3 linked regions of the Tamandua tetradactyla genome follow. The protein of the gene in region 3 interacts with the protein of the main gene of each other region in a pairwise test. Links are inferred from orthologs where the notes say so. Each region holds a gene or a part of one and is shown on either strand. Other genes may lie near its edges.

What was found.
Region 1: the proteins of SMAD1 (region 3) and LEMD3 interact in binary tests that used the Homo sapiens proteins (3 or more experiments, as listed by UniProt). The link is inferred for Tamandua tetradactyla from reciprocal best matches to the Homo sapiens genes SMAD1 and LEMD3.
Region 2: the proteins of SMAD1 (region 3) and PIAS4 interact in a two-hybrid assay, tested with the Homo sapiens proteins (2 studies listed by BioGRID and IntAct). The link is inferred for Tamandua tetradactyla from reciprocal best matches to the Homo sapiens genes SMAD1 and PIAS4.

What each region holds. Positions count from the first base shown.
Region 1 is NC_135333.1:133,020,739-133,028,444, reverse strand, and holds the start of LEMD3 (inner nuclear membrane protein Man1), read right to left. Parts: upstream 3,080-7,706; 5' UTR 3,033-3,079; coding exon 1,493-3,032; intron 1-1,492.
Region 2 is NC_135337.1:78,023,269-78,031,035, forward strand, and holds the start of PIAS4 (E3 SUMO-protein ligase PIAS4), read right to left. Parts: upstream 3,091-7,767; 5' UTR 3,008-3,090; coding exon 2,981-3,007; intron 1-2,980.
Region 3 is NC_135348.1:22,612,652-22,620,222, reverse strand, and holds the start of SMAD1 (mothers against decapentaplegic homolog 1), read left to right. Parts: upstream 1-4,526; 5' UTR 4,527-4,802; intron 4,803-5,313; exon of another isoform or gene 5,314-5,996; intron 5,997-7,571. UniProt on the Homo sapiens protein: Transcriptional modulator that plays a role in various cellular processes, including embryonic development, cell differentiation, and tissue homeostasis.

The sequences.
Region 1 (7,706 bases), on a different chromosome or scaffold from region 3:
GTGTAAAGCATTTAACCCTTAGAAAAGGATGGGTCATATAGTAGGTGGTGGCGTTGGTAGAGAAACAAATAGAGGCAGTATATTCCATTGCTGATAAGCAGTATCAGTTAATTTATGGCAACTTTACTAGTTTTAGCTTCCAATGTAACCTTATTCCTTTTTGCTCCCAAATATGTGGGGAAGGATACATCACATTACTCTTGTTCCCAGGGAACTGATTACAGCGAGGGTTGGATTTGAGTTCTTTTCCAATTTCTTTAATCAAGCAATATTATTAATAATCTTAACATCTTAAAAAATGAACAATTAAAAATCTGAACATCTTAAAATTGGTGTTATCTAGTCAAAGCTTACACTATTTTGGCCCCTATTATTTTTCTGAGTCTGCTAATTGCATCATTCACTCTACTATGAAACAAAGCTAATATAATAAGCCAATTTTATAAATACAAATCATGATGCAATGAATTCATGTTAGGTAAAAAGAGTAGAAGTTTTCAGAGGGAGTATGGAGAGAGAGCTAACACTGAGAAATTATTATTCAGCAGTTCTTCACGCACTAATTTACTTTCTCTATTTTAAACCTCACTGCCACCTTCCTATTCAGTTACCACCATTTTATAGATTAGGAAAGAGAAGATTTTCCTCTCTCCCTCTTGCTCAAGATGCTCTATCCACTTCAGCCTACAGGAAAACTCTTGCTCAACTCGGGGCCTTTCCTCTTGTTCTCTTTGCCCAGAATGATCTCTTCCTCTTTACAAGGCTGGTTCCTTCCCCTGCTTCAGTCTCATCTCAAATAGTATCTCTTCTGACAATTCAATCTAAAGTAGCACACACCAACCAATTCCTCCTTACCGCCTTCATAAAACACAAAATGATCTCCTTTTCGTTTTTAAGAGCAAGGAGACTTTGATTTATTACTATTGTAAACTGGGTGCTTGGCACAGAAGAAATGTTCAGATGCTGGCGGAATGAATGAACACACCTGTCTACAGTTACCTAGCAAGTAAACGGCAGGGTCTGGAACGCAATTCAGGTAAATCTGAACCCAAGCTCTTGTACTGCTCTCCCTACTGGTACTTTTTCACAAGTGAGAGAGAAGCTAGTTGGTGCTGGAAAATAATTTGGAGGAGGAAGGGGGAAGGCCTTGCTACTTTCAAGATTCATTCATTTTAAAGAAATTACATATCTGCCCACATAATTCTACAAACTAACTGGAATTTCAAGAGCATTTACACTCCCTGTTAGAATCACAACTCAATTTGAAGAGACATTGATTTACGATGTCTCTTAAATTAGCTATAGGATATCTTTTTGAGGACCAAAATAATGCTCTTTCTTAAAGAAAGGTGACACAAATGCTCTCAATTTGTTGCGTTTCACTAAACCATGTTCTTGCAGGTAAAAGTCACCTCCCGGAAAATGTAACTGCGGTTAAAGCATGACCATTAACATGCCCTTCCTTACCTTACCCACAGAGCTTAATACTTACAGTTGAGTCCTCCATCTTCGGATACTCCTGTCCCCCGCATTCCTAGGTAAGTCAGTCCCAATATTAGGAAAAATAAGCAGGCAGCAGTTAAGAGAAACATCGACAAGTAGTGGGCACTAAAACTCCCTGTTGGGGACACCTCCTCTCGTTTAAATTGCAGGAGAAGTTCCTCCTCGGGTTCGGAAAGCTTCGGTTTGTTGTACGTGTTTTTCAGGTAGGTATGATTGGAGCCCGTATGATTGGAGTGATTGATCCTGAGTGAACTGGAGGCGGCCACCGCGGCAGTGGGAGGAAAACTGTTGGAATAAATCCTGGGGGAGTCCCCACTGAAGGCCCCACCGCCTATATGATTATTAGTTTTACGAAGGGGGACTGTTGACGAATCCAAGGTTGAGTCGATGTCAGTAAGTGGCGGAGACAGAAGAGGGGCCAATTTCTTAGCGTTAACACGGTATCTAGGAACGGGGCTGGAGTCCAGTAGATCACACCCTCCTCCCTGCCCCACAGCCGCCGCCGCCGCCTCTTCGAGGTTTCGGCTCCTGTCTAGACTCCCAGCAGCCGCCGCCCTGTCATTCATCGCGATTCCTCCCCCTCCTTGAACTGAGGTCTCCAGCCTGCTGCCGGCAGATTTAGCAGTCAGCGGTGCAAGAGGTTTACTATGGCTCCGCCTGGGCCGATGCCGGGAAAGGGAATCGTCCTTTGATACCTGCCTGGTGGAGGCCACATCGTCGTTCTCTTCTTCCTCCGAGTCCGAGTAGTTTTCCCGGCAGATGTAGGGGAGAAGCCGGCTACCATTCACCGTCCGCCTCGACCACTGCTGCTCCTCGGCCTCCGGATCCCTCTCCTCACCGTCTTCTCCCTCCTCTTCCTCGTCGTCCACTGCTCCGTCTTTCCCCGATGGAGTCTGCAGTTCGGGGGCAGCCGGCCTCCTGGCCCCCCACCATGAGTGGGGCTTCCTCCGCTCGGCTGAGTTGCTGTTAGTCACCTCGCTGGCGGCCAGGGGCGCCGGCGGCGGTTTGAGCCCTCGGTACTGGAGAGAAGCCCGGTCCTTCCTCCCGCCGCCGCCACCGCCGCCGCCGGCGGCCTGGTCCCGGGGACTGGCCTCGACGTCCGATTCGTCCGAGCTGAAGCCCAGCAGCACTTTGCTGCCAGCCCTGGGGGCGGCCGAGGCGCCCCCAGGCTCTCCCAAGGGGCTTTCCCGGCCCGAGGCCGAGATTCGGCTGAGGCCCCCCGAAGTCCGTAGGTAGGAGAGGTCGCCCGAGACTGGCCGGACCCCCATCCCCACGACGGCCGCCGCCGCCGGTCCCGCGGCTGCGACGGTGGTGGCTGCCGTGTTATTGTTATTACTGTTCCGCGTCTTGTTGCCGCGGCTCCCGGACCGATGCTGCTGCTCTTCTTCTCGAAGCTTCTTCAGCTTCTTGAGATAGACGGGGCGGGTGCTCTCTGTCACCGGGCCAGGAGACAGGCCGTAACGACGGAGCTGAGAGAAAAGCTCCTCATCCGAGAGCTGCTGAGGCGCCGAAGCAGCTGCCGCCGCCATTTTCTCTCCAGGGTGTTTTACAAGCTCCGCGCTACCGGAAGTGACGCGCTGCCCTAGACCCTGAACTAGACCGGGCTGCGTCGTCCTCCCAGCGCCGCGGGCGCCTCGGCCAATGGGACGCGCGGGAGGAGCTCACCTGAGCGGGAAAGGACCACCTGAACGGCGCGCGGCTCCCGACGCGGATTGTTTTTCTACGCTCTCACCTTCAGGTCCCAGCGCTTTCTCCTCCTCTTTTCTGTTTCCTCCCGGTGTTCTCTGCCCTGCCCTACTAAGTGCCATTCCCGGGAGTTGCCTCTTGCTCAAACCACACCTTGACTTCCCTTTCCCAGGTTCCTGCCACTAAGGCAGTAATAATGGGAAGGAAATCCGCCTTAAAGTTCATGGCATTGTTTTTCTTTCCATCCACTTTCCCGCTGCTCGGAGGAGCCTAGAAAGACTCAAAGAAATTCTGATGGCCAGATTAAATTACAGAATCTCACTTTACAGTTTGTCTCTATGTTTGATTTGGGGGAATTAAAGTGTGACTTCTCGCTGCTCTTTTGAGAAGCCCCCTCCCTCTCCCTTCTCATTTCGAGGTGAAGATATGGAGTAGGCTACTCATAATTCCAAGGGTAATGGCTGTTCAATCATTAGTTAATTGTAAGGTATTATAATACCCCCTCCCCTTTTAAATCTGATGACATTGCTAGACCTTCATTTTTGTAACTGAAACAGCCAATCATTTGCTTCATTTTATGACTGAAAAAAAAGACATATCCTTGTACCATTCCAACAATAGTTATTTAAGTATTATTTATAATTATTTATTTTAAAGATAATTAAGTATTTGTTGTTTTATCCCCTTGGGCTGTAAGCTCCATGAAAGGAGTTGCTTGTGTCATTGGCAACTTCAGCTTCATAGTGCCTGACACTAGTAAAAGCTCAGAAAACATCAGTTGAATGAATTAATGAATTGCAAAGCTAGAATAGTATAAGACGAATGTTATGACCTGGGCATAGTGCTAGATGAGGAGGAGGAACCATCCCACAAAGTCAGAAAAACAAAGACAATTAAGACCTGGAAATCCAACTCCCTCGTTTACAGAATAGGAACTAAGCTCAGAGAAGTGAAATTTGTCCAGTTTGGTCACCATCTCTTTCCTTTTCCTCAGTCCCTGGCAAAGCTGACACTTTGTGACTACTAAATGCTAGCAACTACACTGCAACATCTCACACACTACTTGACACAGTAGAACAATATTTGTGTTCAATAAATTATTTTATCCTATTATGTTATACACATCTGTACAGAAAAGCATGGTAATCAAAAGCATGGATACTGTTTTCAACATCCTGAATCCAACAGCAGAATAATACTTCACAACCTAAATTTTCTACTTCTCTTGGTAAGCAAGAGTTTACCATCATCTAAAAAAAATTTAAAAATAAAAAAAGCCTTAATATGAAGGGACACCTCTTCTCTTTTATCATGGAAAATTTAATTATTAGTTGTTCCTGAATCTATAGAAGAGTGTTTGTCAAATAGAAAGTGCTCAATAAATTTTAGCCACTGTGATGATGATGGTGACACAAAATTTATTGCCATTATTGCCTAGGGATGGAATCAAATGATAATAAACTGGCCACACCTGTGCCTCATTGTGGCAGTGTGGAGAAACTGTGGGTTTTGGAGTTAAACAAAACTGGGTATATGCACAGTCCTGCCTCTTACTTTTATCCTTAGTTTAGCATTTGTTCCACACTTGACTGTCTCTTCATGTAGGAACCATAAAGGTCTGTTGGTTCAGCCTCTGATTTTCAGGAGCTTTAAATATTCTCCTGTAAGAATTGCCACATAGTTTATATTTCTGCCTGTGACTTTCGGCAACGTAATCTTACTGAGCCTTAGTTTCCTTACAATAAAAGAGGGATAATTTACCTTCTTTAGAAGACAATTTTAAGGATTATATGAGATTACCTTCACAGTGCTTAGCACCATTCCTGACATGCCATGTGCACTCAATAAATGTAAGCCAGTAATGTAAAACCAAACATTGTGGACATTCATTTCTGTAGCATGACTCCTGGGAAGTCCATATAATAGCAATAAGGAAAAATGCTACTGTGCAGAGAGAAATAGAAGTGGTCAAACTTTGCCGAAAGTATTTAAATAATTACATTTAAGAGTTAATGGGAAAAAATGAAAAAGAAGGATTAATGAAGATTGACGGCTTTGGCAAACATAGTTTATGGTCATTTCAGTTCTATAGAGCAGCAAGGTTTGATATGAACTAGGAACCAAAGATCTCAACTCTCCAAGACATGTGACTTTGGGCAAATCTTAGGCTCTCAGAACCTCAATTTATTCTTTTTTAAGATGGTAATAATATTGCCTGCTTACCTGGCACATATATGTATTAAATAAACATTTGTGGTAAATGAGGAATGAATACTGTATGGGAAAATCCTGTTCAGATGTGTTGTTTAATTGTTAGACAGTATAGCCAGATATTAATAACAATGACAACTACAATTGACATACAAATTTATACTTTACAAAGGTCCTTCATATACATGGTGTCAGTCTACACTAACACCTCTTCCTCTGTGAAGATACTGGGAGCATGATTTATTGTATGGAATCATCTGGGGTTATAATTTACCTTTTGTCTGGGTAATTGAGCAGATCCTGAACTCTTTATAGACTCTCATTGCTCACTTCCCACATTTTCCTCATTTACCAGTGTATCCCACTATTGCTTCCAGATCAGCTAACTTTTTTAATTTTTAATTTTTTTTTTTTACTTTTTTATTGTATAGTATAGCATATGTATAAAGCAAAGAAATAAAAAAGCAGTAGTTTTCAAAGCACTCTTAACAAGTAGTTACAGGACAGATCCCAGAGTTGGTTCTGGGTTACCATATGATCTGCTCAGATTTTTCCTCCTAGCTGCACCAGAATCTAGGAGGCTAGAAGGTTTAAACATTTTTTTTATCCCCACAATTGACTTTTTTTCTCTCTTTTTTGTGAAAAATAACATATATACAAAAAAGCAAATTTCAAAGCACAGCATCAGAGTTAGTTGTAGGACATATTTCAAAGTTTGACATGGGTTACAATTCCACAATTTTAGGTTTTTACTTCTAGCTGCTCTAAGATATTGGAGACTAAAAGAGATATCACTTTAATGATTCAGCACTCATATTCATGTGTTAAATCCTATCTTCTCTGTATAACTCTACCATCACTTTTGATCTTTCCATTCCTCTCTTTAGGGGTTTTTGGGCTATGGCCATTCTAACTTTTTCATGTTGGAAGGGTCTGTCACTAATATGGGGTAGGGAGGTGAAACTATCTGATGTTCTGGAGAGGCTGGGCCCTCTGGGTTTCAGGACTTATCTGGTCCAGGGACCCATCTGGAGGTTGTATGTTCCTGGAAAGTTACACTAGTGCATGGAACCCTTGAGAAATATTATATATTGCCCTAGGTGTTCTTTAGGGTTGGCTAACTGGTCCTGTTTGGGGTTTGGCAGGCTATGACAGGTAGCAATGTCTAACTGAAGCTTGCATAAGAGCAGCTTACAGAGTAGCCTCTCGACTCTATTTGAACTCTCTCTGCCACTGATACTTCATTAGTTACACTTCTTTTCCCCCCCTTTTAATCAGAATGAAATTGATCCCACGGTGCCAGGGTCAGATTCATCCCTGGGAGTCATCTCCTACATCGCCAGGGAGACTTTCAGCTGGATATCACGTCCCATGTAGGGGGAAGGGCAATGATTTCACTTGCAGAGTTGGGCTTAGAGAGACTGAGGCCATTTCTGAACAACAAAAGAAGTCTTCCAGAAGTAACTCTTTGGCATACCTATAGGTAGGCTAAGCTTCTATACTACCTGTATAAGCTTCACAAGAGTAAGCCTCAAGATCAAGGGCATGGCCTATTGATTTGGGTGTCCCTAAAGTTTCACACAGTATCAGGGGATTTCCTGATGTTAAAGTTTAATAGCTCCATATTTTCCCTCCCATCCCTCATATACTCTAGGATATATCCAGGCATTACATTAGGCTATACAGGATTAAAGAACCTCTTTCTTATTCTGGGCTCCCTGTGTTTCAATTGTTCAAATGAGGTAAACAGATAGGTTGACTTAGATTATGTGCTACAGAAAATTTCGATTCTAGACTAAATAAACCTTTCCTCCTTTGGCCTCAAAGAGTATGTGTGGTTATAAAATATAGACATTGTCTTCCTTACCCCTGTGTTCTGAATTACTTTAACCTCAACCTGATCGGCTTCATTCTTATCTCTAAATATCAGGTTTTATGTATATATAAAACAGCCTCTCAAAATCCGGAAATCATAATTACCACTCCGGACCAAATGTGTCTGCTATAAAAGCTTGCAATCTAGGTCCCTGTTTTCTTGTAAGTATTTTCTAAAGGACACCATACCATTGTTGATCTTTTGCTTCTGACTTATTTTGCCTCACCAAATGCCCCACACATCCATTCACATCATTGCTTGCCTCACGACTTCATTCCTTTTTTGTAGCAGCATAACATTTGTTCATAAGTATACACTATCATTCGCCAATCTACTTCTCAGTCAGTGCATCCTTCAGCCACCTGCATTCATCAGGAATCATGTATAGTGCCCAAAGTCCACAGTCCATTAACACTCTCAATTTTAGAAA
Region 2 (7,767 bases), on a different chromosome or scaffold from region 3:
GGCCCAAGCCCTCCTGGATTGTCAGTGGTAGGACTGGCACTCAGACTCACTTCCATCAGGCACCCAAGGGCATGATCCTTCCTGTACTCATACCCATCTACCTGGGGAACACTACGGGGTCTTCTTTCACAAGGCACATCCCCTGCCTGAGAACCTGGATAACTTTGAAAACAAAGTGCCTTCAGCCCCCTTGGCCGGCCTTCCTACCTTGAGCAAAAAAAAAGACTTGTGGACAAGATGTATCTTCTGGAACAGGCCCAAGCCTTTCGAGGGAGAAGCAGTGTCATGTGGAAGCTTAATAACCGCTGCTGAAGGCAGGTGGGTTCAGCCATTCAGGGTCTGACCACAAGAGATCTGCTGACATCAGCTGGCGCCTGGGAGCCCCTGACCTACCCTGCCCCCCTCTCCACCAGGGCCTAGCCCCTCCGGCCAGGTTGGACGCCAGGAGCTGCCGCACAAGCAACCCAGGGCACACCCCTCAAGCTGCCATATGTTCACGACTCAAATTTCTCAGCAGCTGCCACCACCGAGCAGCCTGCCCTTGACTCCAGTGGAGCTGGGGAGGGGGGAGGGGGGAACAAACATTCAGAAAGCCCCAAATGCCTCGGAGATCACTTCCTGCTGTAGGTGCATCCTGACCTGCCCGCCTGTTGGAACTGTTTATAAACAGCTCTGGGACCCAATGGCTTTGGGCTGACTGCTTTGGGCCAGACAGGTTCCAGAGCAGTTTCAACTCTGGACTTGTTGGGAAGCTGTGTGAAGAAACATCAGCCTGGAGCAGCTGCACTTAACCTTTTCCCCATCGTGGCCTCTGAAAATGGGAGGAAAGCAAAGCCCCTCTTTCCAGAAAAAAAAGAGGTCTGCAAAATGCTACAGACTACCTCAAGGAGTTCCTGGACTCCTTCCCCCAAGCCAACCTCATAGCCCTTAAGACTCTCAAAGTCAATCAATCTCAAACCAGCCTCTTTTGCACCCCAACAGGCAAATCTCCAGCTCCAAATGCAAGGCACAGGGAAAAGAGGGGAGAAGCCTCAGGACCCCCAAAACACCTGACAAAAGGGTGATCACTGCATTTACATTTAAGCCACTGTAGGGTGGTAGTAAAATGGTTCCCTGGGATTGGGGGAGGTTTGGTTGTCATTCCACACCTACCTGCCCCCACCCCCTCAGAATGGAGGTGCACATCTTTTAGAACTTGAAAGAAAGAAGGGTCAACTTGATTTAATTGGGGTAGGAAGTCCCAGCCATGGTCGGGTCAAGAAGAGTTCATGGGATCACATTTCAAGGCCCTGGATGGTATTAAAAAAAGAGCACAGACCCTAACCTCCTCCATTGGGCATGGGGGTGGGGGTCCAGAGCCACAGCTCTGCCAGAAGGTTGAGTTTCAGGGCTCTAGGGGACTTTGACTAGGGAGGCTGGCACCTTGGGCTTGCGAAGTCCAGTCCTCCACAGTTCCAGGACAGACTGGCCATTTCTCAAAACCCAGGAGAGAGCAGGAATGCATGTGACATGGGATTGTGGAAGGGAGGTGGGGGGGAGATACACGTTATAATATAGGGATCTTAAGGGCCATGTGCCAGATCCCTGGGGGAAGGGAGAAGAGAGGGAGGGGAAAGAAGAAAGCAATCATTTACAGGTCAGGACCCTGGGGAGGACAGATCCAAGAGGGGAGGGGAAGGGCAGTGCTTGGAAGGCCTAGGAAAGCCCTAGCCCCTGCCTCCCTGGGAGCAATGGCTGGGAGTGTACTTTTAAGGGCAGAAAACCCTGGTATGAGACAAAGGTTTGGGAGCCTTACCATTGAGGAGGCATCCAGAAGAAAGTACATCCCTGGGACAAATGGGACCCCAGGCTAAAACAGAGAGGCCCCTGTCCTAGAATCTGAGGGAGACTTAGCAGGAGGCCGTTAAGGAAAAAGGCCTATCCTGGAACCAGCTGCAAACCTTCCAAGAACAGAAAGAGGGAAGCAGGCAGAAAAAAGGGGCTCAGAAGACAGATCTGGGGTGCATAGGTATATAAAATCAGACCTTTGACCTAGGAAGTAGATTCACTAGAGAACAGAGTATAGGGGAAGCAGCTGAAGTTTAGAAATGGGATCTGATTCTGCTTGGGGGCGGGATGCGTGTGAGCGGAGTTAAGGTTCCCAGAAGCCGAATCCATAGGTTCCTAGTTACTGTCCGGAGGGGAAAACAAAGTGGAGAACGGCAAGGTTCAGAACCCAGGACTGTAAAGGGGGCAGGAGGAAGGCAGAGGAGTCAGGGCAGACGGGCGGCCCCAGGCCACTCCGGGGCTAGGCACCAGTGTCAGGAGGGGGGCGGGGCTCGTGGACTACCGTAGGTGCTGAAGATGGGCTCCACGCCAGGCCTGGGTCACACACCATCGGCGGACAACCGGGTTTGGAAGCGCTCCAGGGCTCGGGGCCCATCACCCCGTGCTGTTGATGGGCGGAACAGCGCCGGGAGGCGGGGACCCTTCTCAGCCGGGAGTCGCAAACCCCTGCCTGGTCTCCTGAGCGCGCAGGCAAGAGCCAGAGACCGTGGAAGGCCGAACGCTGACAATTCCCCCGACCCGGGCTAGAAAACACCGACACCAGCTTGGGAGGAGGGAACGAGAACCCCGACCCATCACGCCGTCCGGGGAGAGACTCTGCCTCAGACGGGAGGCGCGGCCCTGCCCCCTGGGTTCAGGGAGACCCAGACTCCGGCGGTTTGCGCTTGGCTGCGGGGACCCTGCTTCAAGCCGGGGGACCTGACCCCCGACACGACGACTGGGGCGAGGTGTCGGGGCCCCGCCCCCGGCCTCCCCGCCCCCCGCCCGCACCCCGAGTCCCCCGGCCGGGAGCCGCCGCACCGAAGCCTCGAGCAGGTGGCGCCCGGGGCCCGGGGCGGAAGGCGCAGGCCTCAGCCCCCAGGCCCGCCCCGCGCCCCCGCCCCCTCGTCCGCCCGGCCGCCCGCCCGGGACGGCGCCGCCGCCGCTCACTCACTTTGGCCTCCACCAGCTCCGCCGCCATCTTGGCCACCAGCGTCCCCCGCGCCGGGAGCCCCCAGCCGTCACGTCACGTGACCGCCCGCCACCCGCGGGCGGGGCGACCGCCGCGGCCAATTAGCGCCCACGCGCCCGCCTCTCCCCAGGCTCGCGCTGCCGCGCTCTGCGCAGGCGCGTGCGGCCGCCGCCCGGGCCTCGAGCCAATCAGGGTTCGCTCGCGGCGACCCCGCCCACCCCGCAGCTGCGTCTGGCTTCTTAAAGGAGCACGAGCCCCGCGCGGGTCGGTGGTGGGCGATAGGAGCGGCGGCGATGCAGGTGGAGGCGACGGCAGATGCTGGTGCTCCGGTGCGAGGCGGCCTCCAGGTGCGCGCCCGGAGGTCCGGCGGCTTTGGGGGGGGAGGGGACAGCCGCTCCACTGCGGCGGTCGCCAGTGCGCGCGGCGCGGCGCGGACCCAGCGGACCCCGGCGCCCCGCGCTATACATCCGGGTCTTGGCGCGGCAGGTGGGGGGCGGGACCTAAGCCCCCCCCCCCCCCCCCCCCCCGCTCTGCCCGTTTCCGGGTTGCCCGAGTCTGAGAAATGCGCGGCGCCCCATTTCCACGAATTCCTGGAGCTCGTGCACCGAGCACCGCGCTCCGCTTTGCAGGCGCTCCCGCATCGTCGACCCCGACTTCATTCTTTCCTGCCTCCTTATCCGAAGTGAACTTTCAGGGTTTCGAATTTGCCCTGAGCTCAGCCTTCCCTGCTCAGAAGCTCTCCTTGGCTCCCCAGTGCCCCGCCCAGACAGCCGATCTCAAACTTTCCTGTGTGTAAAGGGAGAAGCGAGGGACCAAAAAGAGTGTCTTTCTTACGGTTAATAATACAATATTTGTTCAGGAATTATAACAAAGGTCCCCCTTAATGCTTATTGTTAATGCTAGGAAAATTGAAGGGGAAAAAGCATATATTGGAATACTGCATTCTGCATGATTTTCCTGTAAACCTCAAACTGCTGTGATATTACTTAATAAAATGTAGTTTCAGGGATATTCAAATTCTCAGGGCAGGAAGAAACTCGGGCACGAAACTAAGCGGGTGCCAGGAAAACTCAGTAATCAAGGAGAATATTTTTAGAATAACTTTTAATGGGGTCCCTGACTCCCAGGGGTGTAAATCTCCCTGGCAACGTGGGACAGAAATCCCAGGATGAGCTGGGACCCAGCATCAAGAGATTGAGAAAACGTTCCTGACCAAGACGAGAAGGAGAGAAATGAGACAAAATAAAGTGTCGGTGGCTGAGAGATTTCAAGCAGTTGAGAGGTTATCCTGGAGGTTATTATGTATTACATAGATATCCCTTTTCAGTTTATGGTGCATTTGAGTGGCTGGAGGGAAATACCTGAAACCAAAGAGCTGTGTTGCAGTAGCCTTGTCTGTTGAAGATGATTGTATAATGATACAGCTTTTACAGTGTGACTGTGTGATTGTGAAAACCTTGTGTCTGATGCTCCTGTTATCTAGTGTATAGACAGATGAGTTAAAAATATGGATAAAATAACAAATATAGGGGGAACAAAGGTTAAAATATATGGGGTAGATGGACATACACTTTTGTGGTCAGTGAAAGGGAAGAGTTAAGGGTTATGGGATGTATGAATTTTTTTATTTCTTTTTCTGGAGTGATGCAAATGTTCTAAAAAAGATTATGGTGATGAATACACAAGTATGTGATGATATTGTGAACCATTGATTGTGCACCATGTATGGAATGTTCTTATATTAAGAATGTTTGTGTTTGTATGTTATCTTGTCAATAAAAATATTAATGGCCCCCAGAATCCATGGTGAACAAAAATGTCGATGATGTAAGCAGACAAATTCCAACTCTGCTTTGACACAAATGAGTCTCACTGGCCTCACCCTATTTCCAGCCCTGCTGATTCTGTGTGGTTGTTTTTTTATTTTTAATAAAATTTTTAATTTAGGAATAGTTTAAGGCTCACAAAAGGTTGAAAACGTAGTACAGAAAGTTTCCATGTATCCTTCACCCACCTTTCCTTGATATCTTCCATATGGAATGAATGATCAAAACCAAGTTTTTTTTTGTTTGTCTGTTTGTTTGTGTCTTTTTTTTAACTATTATTATTTTTATTTTTTTCTCTATATTAACATTCTATATCTTTTTCTGTTGTTTTGCTAGTTCTTTTCCTAAATCGATGCAAATGTACTAAGAAATGATGATCATGCATCTATGTGATGATGTTAAGAATTACTGATTGCATATGTAGAATGGAATGATTTCTAAATGTGTTAATTTCTTTTTTTCTTTAATTAATAAAAAACAAACAAACAAACAAAAAACCAAGTTGCTAATACCTAATACAGGTACAGACCTCATTCACTAGTTTTTCCTTTTTTTTCAATCATTCATCAGTTTTTACATGCACATTTTTGGGGTGGGTGGGTGGATAGTTCTATGAAATCTTATCACCTGTAGATTCTGGCAGCTTTCCTGGTGTGAATGTTTTAAATGTTTCTGTTTATGATAATGGTATCATTGCAATGTTTGTTTGTTTGTTTTGCATGGGCAGGCCCCGGAAATCGCTGTTTTTAAAATATGAGAAATGCAAGCCTGCGTGTTTACACAAATGGTGTGGGATTTGCTTTAAAATAATAGGGAAGGCTTGGGGCAGAAGTGACCACAATGAGATGGGCCCTGAACTGTGAATTGTTATAGCTGGAAGACAGATTCGCAAGGGGATGTTAGATAGTTAACACTGTGTCAGCACTTATTCTGCTCTACTCCTCCACTCCTACCCCGCCACCCTCCCAGATTGTACATTCTGAGTCTTCGCATTGACCCCATTTTCTGACCTTGATACCAGGGCTCAGAGACAAGAAGCAATTTTTGCCCAGATATTGGCAAAGCCAGCTCTTAATCCAGGGATACCTGCATCCAAAGGCCAGTGGCAGACCCTTCCGAAAGGTGTTAGGAAATAACCTCTCTGTTTGTTGAGCACCTACTAAGTGCTGTACGCTATTTTGGGTCAAGGGTCAGCAGAATATTTTCAATTTTGTTTAGTCTCAACGCTGTGTTCGAAGATGCGAAAGTGGCCACATGCACCATGAAAACAAATGAACGTGCCTGTGTGTCAATAAAAGCTTATTTATAGACACAGAAATGTAAAGTTGATGTAATTTTCACGTGCACGAAATATTGTTACAATTGTGATTTTTTTTTGCAACCACTGAAAAAATGTAAAAATGAAAAAAAAAATTTAAAGAGAATCGTTCTTAGCTGAAAAAGCTGTTTTAAAACGGATCCCCTAGGGCCACGGTGGCTCAGCAGGTAAGAGTGCTTGCCTGCCATGCCCAAGGACCTGGGTTCGATTCCCGGTGCCTGCCCATGTAAAAAAAAAAAAACGAATCCCCTAGATTTGACCCGAGGGCTGCACTTCACTGATTCCTGTTACAAGTGCTGAAATGCAGCATGACCATAATAGGCAAAAATGCCTGTTCTCCTGGAGCTGGCAATCCAGGAAGTGTGTATATGGGGGGGGGGATGCGCAGTAAATGAAATAAAAAGCTGAACATAGAACAAATTCAGTCAGCGATGAGAGCTAGGGAGAAAAATAAAGCAGAAGGGAAGTGTGGCTGTTTGAATTACGTAACCAGACAAAATTCTTAATCTTCGTTCGTGTTCCTGTGGGTGTGAACCCATTGTGAATGGGAGCTCTTGAAGATGTTATTTTAGTTAATGAGGATGAGCCTCATTCGTGATGTGAAGTCCTTTATAAGTGGACGCAATTGAGACAGAGAAAGGCACGGAGAAGAGCTGAAAACCGGAAGTCAGGGAACCAGGAGGAGAAAGGAAAGGAGGTCACCATGTGACAGGAAAGCTGAGGAACCCCGAGGGTCCCCAGTGGCCAGTACCAGAATGCTACAGTCTTTCCCGATAGCTAGATTTTGGTCTTCCCCTAGCCTTAATGTCATGGGCTCATAAATTCCTCGATTAAGGTAACCCATTGTGTGCTACTTGTCATGTGAGGTAGTTTGTAACTTTATCCTCAGTATTATTGCTGTATAACTTTATGAATTTGTGTGCACCACTTTATGCATTTATGTATCTCCCTGTGTATTTCTGTGTATCATGCTATGAATTTGTGCACTCACAAATGTATGTAAAATACATGGTTTCTCGAAGGAAGTAAAACAGGATGTCTGCTGTGCCTGTTCCTTGTCACGTCCAGGGCTGCCTGCATTTCAGACAAAAGAAATAAGCTAAGGGCCAGATAATAACTCCTGCCCTGCAACTACTATTTCTATGCTTTTCCATTGTTTACTGCCCATTCCCATAGTAACTCCCCCCTTTCTTGCTGGCCTGTATAATCTAGAAACAAAGGATATTCAGGGCTCAGACTTTGGACAGGAGCCCTCTGAGTCTGCCACGGAAAATAAAAAGTTTTGTCCACTTCTCAGAGGTTCCAGTGCTTTCTTGGGTGGTGCTTGGAGTCTCTCTACTTCAATAGCAGCCTGGAAAACTAAGAAAGAAGGATATGGAAAATACTCACAAGAACACCGCAATTGAATTCAACAGATCTAAATCATATCCTCCAAAGCGATGGTCATATTCGCAAACCACCTATTATGTGATAGATAAATAATGATAAGTAGATAGACAGGCAGACAGACAAGACACATAGATGGAGAGTGGTGGTTTGAAGCTGAATGTACTGCAGAAAACACGTTCTTTACGTTAATCTATTCTTGTGGGCATGAACCCATTGTGAGTGGGAACTTTTAAAAA
Region 3 (7,571 bases):
CCTTAGTAAGATGGCAAACTTAATCGATAGATGTTGTGTGTGTTGATTGCTCCACTGACCGGCTGTTCCCCCACCTCTCTCCCTCACATTGGGCCTCCCTATTCCCTAAGATGCAACAATATTGAAATTAGATCAATTAATAACCCTTCAATGAATACTACTGGTCAATGAGAGGGAGTGGTAAGGGGTATGGGCTGTATGAGTTCTTTCTCTTTTCTTTTTATTTCTTTTTCTGGAGTGATGCAAATGTTCTAAAAATGATCAAGGTGGTGAATACACAAATATGTGATGCTATTGTGAGCCATTGATTGCACACCATGTATAGACTGTATGTGTGTGAAGATTTGTCAATAAAAATATTTGTTAAAAAAATAACCCTTCCCCAATGGCTTCTAAGTGTTCAAGTGAAAGGAAGAGTCCCGCATCTCTTAATTTAAATGAAAAGCTAGAAATGATTAAGCTTAGTAAGGAAGGCGTGTTGAAAGCTGAAACAGGTTAAAAGCTAGGTTTCTTGTGTCAAACAGTTAGCCAAGTTGTGAATGCAAAGGAAAAGTTCTTGAAGGAAATTAAAAGTGCTACTCCAGTGAACACATGAATGATAAGAAAGTGAAACAGTCATTACTGATGTGGAGAAAGTTTTAGCAATCTGGATAGAAGATCAAACTAGCTATAACATTTTTTTAAGTCAAAATCTAACCCAGAGCAAGGCCCTAACCTCTTCAATTTTAGGAAGGCTGAGAGAGGTGAGAAAACTGTAGAAGAGACGTTTGAAGTTAGCAGAGGTTGGTTCATGAGGTTTAAGGAATGAAGCTGTTTCTGCAACATCAAAGTGCAAGGTAAAAAGCAGCAAGTGCTTATTTAGAGCCTACAGCAAGTTATCCAGAAGATCTAGCTAAGATCACTGAGGAAGGTGGCTACACTAAACCACACATTTTCAATGTAGATGAAACAGCCTTCTATTGGAAGAAGATGCCATCAAGGGCTTTCATAGTTAGAGAGAAGAATTCAATGGCTGGTTTCAAAGTTTCATAGGACAGGCTGACTCTCTTGTTAGGGGCTAATGTTAAATTGAAGCCAGTGCTCATTGACCATTCTGAAAATCCTAGCAGCTTTAAGAATTATGTTAAATCTACTCTGCCAGTGCTCTATAAATGGAAGAACAAAGCCTGGATGATACCACATCTGTTTACAACATGAATTACTGAATATCTTAAGCCTACTGTTGAGACCTATTGCTTAGGAAAAAAATATTCCTTTCAAAATAGTACTGCTCATTGAAAATGCCCCTGGTCATCCAAGAGCTTTGATGGAGATGCCCAATGAGATGAATGCTTTCATGCCTGCTAACATAACATCTGTCTGTAGTCCATGGATTTAGGAGTCATTTTGATTTTTAAGTCCTTATTATTTAAGAAATACATTTCATAAGGCTATAGCTGCTATAGATAGGGACTGTGCTGATGGATCTGGGCAAAGGCCACCAAAAACCTCCTGGAAAGGATTCACCATTCTGGATGCCATTAAGAACATTTGCGATTCATGGGAGGAGGTCAAAATATCAACAAGAACAGGAGTTTGGAAGAAGTTGATTCCAACCTTTAGGGATGACTTTGAGGGATTCAAGATTTCAGTGGAGGAAGTAACTGCAGATGCTGTGGAAACAGCAAGAGAACTAGAGTTAGAAGTGGTGCTTGAAGATGCTGTGTGTTGATTGCTCCACTGACTGGCTCTTCCCCCACCTCCCTCCCTCACATCAGGCCTCCTCATTCCCTAAAATGCAACAATCTTGAAATTAGATGTTAATAATCCTTCAATGAATAGAAGTGGTCAATGAGAGGGAGCAGTAAGGGGTATGGGCTGTTTGAGTTTTTTCTCTTTTCTTTTTATTTCTTTTTCTGGACTGATTGCACATGTTCTAAAAATGATCAATACACAATACAAATATGTGTATTCATCTAAATTGTGACTAAATCGCTACACTCTCATGATGAAACTTGAACAGATGAAACGTTGCTTCTTATGGATGAGCAACGAAAGTGGTTCTTGAGATGGAACCTACCCTGGGTGAAGATGCTGAGAACATGGTTGAAATGAAAACAAAAGATTTAGAATATTACATAAGCTTAGAGCCAAGATTTGAGAAGATTGATTCCCATTTTGAAAGAAGTTCTGTGGGCAAAATACTGTCAAACGCTGTCATAGGCTATAAAGAAATCTTGTGAAAGGAAGAGTCAGTCGATACAACAAACTTTATTGTTGCCTGTTTTAAGAAATTCTACAGCCACTCCATTCGTCAGCAACCACCCTGAGCAGTCAACAGCCATCAACATCAAGGCAAGACCTTCCATCAGCAAAAAGATTACAACTTGCTAAAGGCTCAGATGACGGTTAGTACTTTTTAGCTATAAAGTATTTTTTAGTTATACTATGCACAGTTTTTTTTTTTAGACAAAATACAATTGCACACTTACTAGACCAAAGTATTGTGTGAACATAACTTCGAATGCACTGAGAAAACAAAATATTCATGTGACTTGCTTTATTGTGATAATCGCTTTATTGTAGTCGTCTGAACTGAAATCGCAGCATCTCTGAGGTTTGCCTATATACAACCCACATTTAGGTTTTCATAATTGTCCCAATAATGTACCTTTTAAAAAGGTACCTGGGTTTTTATTACCATTTAAAGAAAAAAAACTGTGCAAAGGGCAAAGTCAAATTTCCTAGCATGCATAATATTAATAGTTATTATTTGGGCCCATTAGCACTATGCCATGAAAGGTCAGTATAGGTTAAAAAAAATCATTAGCTTTAAAAAGTCATTTTATAAATTTTCCCCCAATCCAGGATCCAATCAAGGATGGTACACTGTATTAGTTGTCATGTCTTTTTTTTTTAAAAAACAGCTTTATTGAAATACAATTCACATAACATGATTTACCCATTTAAAGGGTAAAGTCCAATGGCTTTTAGTGTATTTACAGACTTGTGCATCCATATATTTTTATCACCCCTAAAATAAACCCCATACCCTTTAGCTATCACTTCCCAAGCCTCTAACCCACCGGCCTTAGGCAACCACCAGTGTACTTTCTGTTGCTATAAACATGTCAATTTTGCACATTTCATATGAACAGAATTATACACCATGTGGTCTTGTGAGTGGCTTATTTTACTTAGCATGTTCCCAAGGTTCATCCATTTTGCAGAATGCATCCATACGTCATTCCTTTTTACGGCTGAATAATATTCCATTGCATAGATATACCACTATTTATTTATCAAAGAAGGGTTTTGAGTGAGCCCAGGAGTGAGCTGATCTGACAAGGACATAATAATGTTCACTTTGGTTGTTCTTCCAGTGAGCAGAGGGATCAGCTCTACTGATAGAGAGAATAATTCCTACTGATAGGGAAAATAAGAGGAGGTCCAATAATTGCCTAGTAATACTTTAACAAAGAAAGGAATTTAATATTCTGATACATAATTTATAAACAGCATTTTACAAGCTTTATGGAATTTGTTGCATTTCCTTTGAATAATTAAAAATGGAATGCAGAAATAATAAGTAACTAAGAATTAAGAATTGAAAATGAATTTAAAAATAATTAAAAACTTTGTAAGGGTACACGAGCAATAGAAGACTACCATTAATTTATGATGCTTGTTGTATTTCCTTTATATTACGAAGGTGGTAACAATTCTTTTGGTCCATGTGAAATTATTCAGAATAATTATTCTCATCTAAGCATAACTCAACATTCTGGTAATTACCCAAAATTTCATGGCAGCATCCAGAGAGTTTGCCAAAAGAAAAACTGACTTACGAAATGCTATTTTCAATGTCTATGCAGATAAAGACGATAAGAACTTCTTTATTTTTGTTTTTGGGGTTAGCGTCAACTAAAAGATTTTCAAAGTGACCATTTAGCGTTTAGAACTCTTTTGTGGCATCTGTCATTATTTGGAGCAACGAAGTTACCTATTCCAATCATTGGATCTCCAATTGGCACAAAACGTTTGATTTAGGGTTTGATGTAAGCACATGGATAGTTACTTGGCTCTTCAGTTCTGGGTACAGTGCAACTTCTAGGGGCCAGCAAATCACTAGGGAGTGAGAGAAGGGCTGTGAAAAATGTCTGGAAAGACTTGTCAAAAATGCTGTCCACGTTTTAGAGCAGCTCGGTGGGCGCGGTTGGATGGGTTAATGCACATTTGAGAAAGTAAACACAGGGAGTACCGAACTTCACTTGCAGCTAATGCCCCACGTCCGCTCCACCAGGACTGAAGGAGGCAGGTTAGGAAGGCCCTGCAGGATACACTGTTTTCTCTCCCAGGAATAACGGGGGCGTGCGGCTGGGGGCGGAGTAAGTCGCTCCGACTGCTCCCCAGCCGCGTCCGCGGGCCCGGGAGGCGCTGCGCTCGCGTGGGGCTCGGCGGGGAATTTGGAGAGGATCCCTGGTCGCTCGGCGGCAGCGGCGGCGGTGGCGCGCGGGTGCGCGTGTGAGCGAGTGAGCGAGCGAGCGGGCAGGCGGGCGAGTTCGCCGGGTATTGGCAGCCGAGGGGTGGAGGCTGGGCGGCTCCGACTCCCTGACGCCAGCGCGACCAGATCAATCCAGGCTCCGCGAACGAGCGGGCGGAGGAAGGAGAGGCCGAGCTGCCCAGCCCAGGCCGAGGCGCTCGCTGGGAGGGAGCCTGCGTGCGGAGCGCGGCGCAGAGCCCGGCCGGCCGGCCCGGGGCCGCGGGGATCCCGTTCGTCCGGCCACTCGTGCGCCCGCGACAACGGGCGCGCCGCCAACTCGGTAAAACGAAACAGACCCGGACCCAACTTTTCTCTTTACCGCGTCCCCGCCCTCCTCTCTGCGCCCTGGGCTTTCTCAGCGCGGCCGCCGCCTCTGCGGCAACAGGCGCGGGCCCTCCGGGGCCACTGCGGTCGTGCGGGGCCGGCGGCGCGGGCTGAGGAGTCCGAGGGGCTCTTCCCGGCGTGGGGCGGACCGGGGAAGCCTGCTCCTCTCTCCTCCCATGATGGCGCCTCCTGGCCGCTCTCAGGAGCTAACCTGCCACCTCCTCTTCCCTTCGCGCCCAGCCGGCGGGGCAGGGTTCGCCTGGGGTTCACCTCGCGTCTTTGTTGGGTCTGCGGTGGGGAAACCGCTGTTCTTCGGCCCCCCTGCATCGCCGCCGGCCCTGCAAGTCCTCTGCGGGCGCCCTCCCCCTGCGCCTGCTCCCGGTTTCTCTTTCCCTTTCTGCAACCGGGCCGAGGCCGTCCGCGCGGCCCGCGGGCCCATTGTGTCCCGCGCCGGCCGGGGCGACCCGTGCGGGAGTTTGGGGACAGACGCCGGCGTTGCCCTTTACGCATTGGGCGCCTCGCGGAGCGGGTCTGGAGGGGGAGGACACCCGGTGCTCCCGGCTCCTCCGCATCCCGGACGTGTTGCCTCCTCTGCCCCTACAAGCCACTTTGGGGTCGAGGTCAAGGAAAGTTCGCACCGACGTTCCCTCGGATTTATTCAGAGGTTTGGCGGCGCGTGAATTTTCTTTCTCTCTCTCTTTTTTTTTCTCTTCCGCCTACACCCCCTGAGTCTTCAAGTGTCGTCTCATTCCTTTCCCTTTACCGGATTCGATTGCCTCACTGCATGTGAATTTGTGAGTTCGTTGTTGAACAACTGTTCATTTTCTCTGCTCCCTGTCTTTGTTAGCATTTCTCGGGATTGTTTCTGTAGGGTGGTGGGGGTGGTAGGTGTGAGAGAGACAGACGTGGGCTTGTTTTTCTAGTTGCTTATTATATATGAAGGCTTAAAGGGAGAGCGTTTCTTTGCTGTACTTAGGGAAGGGAGGAGGAACGAATGCCTGCCGAATGCTACTGCTGCAGTCGCTGCGGCTTTTGTTTATTTGGAGGCGCATGCGATTTTTAAATACACTGTGCAAGATAACCAGTGAGCACTTCCATCTGAAAATTGTGGTCGGTCTCAGAATCGTATCCTGAGGAAAGCTTCATTTTCGTGAGTGCTGTGACAACCAGCCTTTTCTTTCCACTCGTGTTCTTTGCTTTCCATTGTGTATGAAGTTTCAGAGTACGTGGAATGACATAGAAGTTGCCTGATGGGAAGTTGTCTTCCTTTTGCCGAGACTCAGCTGCTAAACCACAGAATGCCTTTATTTCATCTCTTGTTCTAATCGTCGTGGGTAACGCTTCAGTAAGACAGTGAGAAAACTGTTTTCTGCCTGTGTTGATTTTTCGTCTTGTTTATAATGACCACTTTAAATTTTAATGGAGGTAGGTGAGCTATGGTGGAATCACTGGTTAAAGGAATCGAGGCAGAACCAAAGTTTTGCTTCAGCGTTTGACATGCCCCAGCAGTTTCGACGGGTGTAAATGTGTTTGCATCAGTGTTGTGTTATTCTAGTGCAAGACCTAAATATCCTGTAGTGATTGAAGTTTTTGTCCTCCCTCGCCCTCCTTCTTTTCCATTTGCAGTTATTTGATATTTCTGTGCAGGCAGTGACCATTTGTGTGATATTGCAATTCTTGGGAAACTGTAACCAGGGTTGTGAGATGATTTTCTGGAGGTGGGTGATCCTCTAGAGGCTCCAGATGGTATCGGGTTTCCTCTGAGGGTAGGGATTTGTCCTTGATTTAGTTTTGACCCCTCTGACCATAGGTATGTAACTAAATACATTTTTCCTTTTGCAGTGTTCTTTGGTTTTATACCCTCGAAGAGCTGATGACTTTTGCATTTTAGAGAAGTGACACATTTTAGGCAATTAAAAACGTTAATGTCTTAACGCTTTTTGGAATTCAAATAATTTTTTTTTACAAGGACCAGATAAAACGTTAAATAAGTCTTATTTTCCTAAATGCATTTATTAGTTAAAAATTAAATTTCAGTTTCTAATTTTGATTTCTAGTAATTCGGGGTTAAAAATAAAATTTAATAACTTGGTAGATTGGAAAAGGAATAAACTTGAGTCTACTTAGAAGAGCATGTTTAAGCTGCAGTAGTCTACATAATCAAGGCCAAGTCATGTGTGTACAAAAGATCTCATTTGTGTAGTCTTAAAGGCTAATGGAGGCATCATTGAGGCTTTATAAATAATGTAAGTTGTGTATAATGTAGAGTCTCAAGAGACAGCAGAGAAAGCATCATTACCAGCCTTTTCAACCTGCTTGAGATCTTAAATTGATTTACAGCACTGAACTGGTGCAAAATGATACATCAGAATGACATGGGGTCAGCCTGTAAAAGTCTATGATGTCAGCCTATTAGTTCAGTCATCATAATTAAACCGTATTACAGGGGCAGCTAAGCAGGAGTCTGGCATTATACTTCAGATATGGGTGGTACGTGAATTTTGTTTATAGTGAAAAGGCCTACGTGACCAAGACATTAGTGTTTCTGAAATAGGGAAAGGCTTACAGAACTCTTGAGTTTCTGAAAAAAATTGAAGATAAAAGCAGAGATGTTCAGTTTGTAGTGTAGCTTTGCATTTGTAAAGGTAAATGTAGCTTTACATTTGGCAGTAAAGAAATGCTTTGAGGGTGCTGGTAACCGTCTTTGCCGCTCTGATCTCTGTGC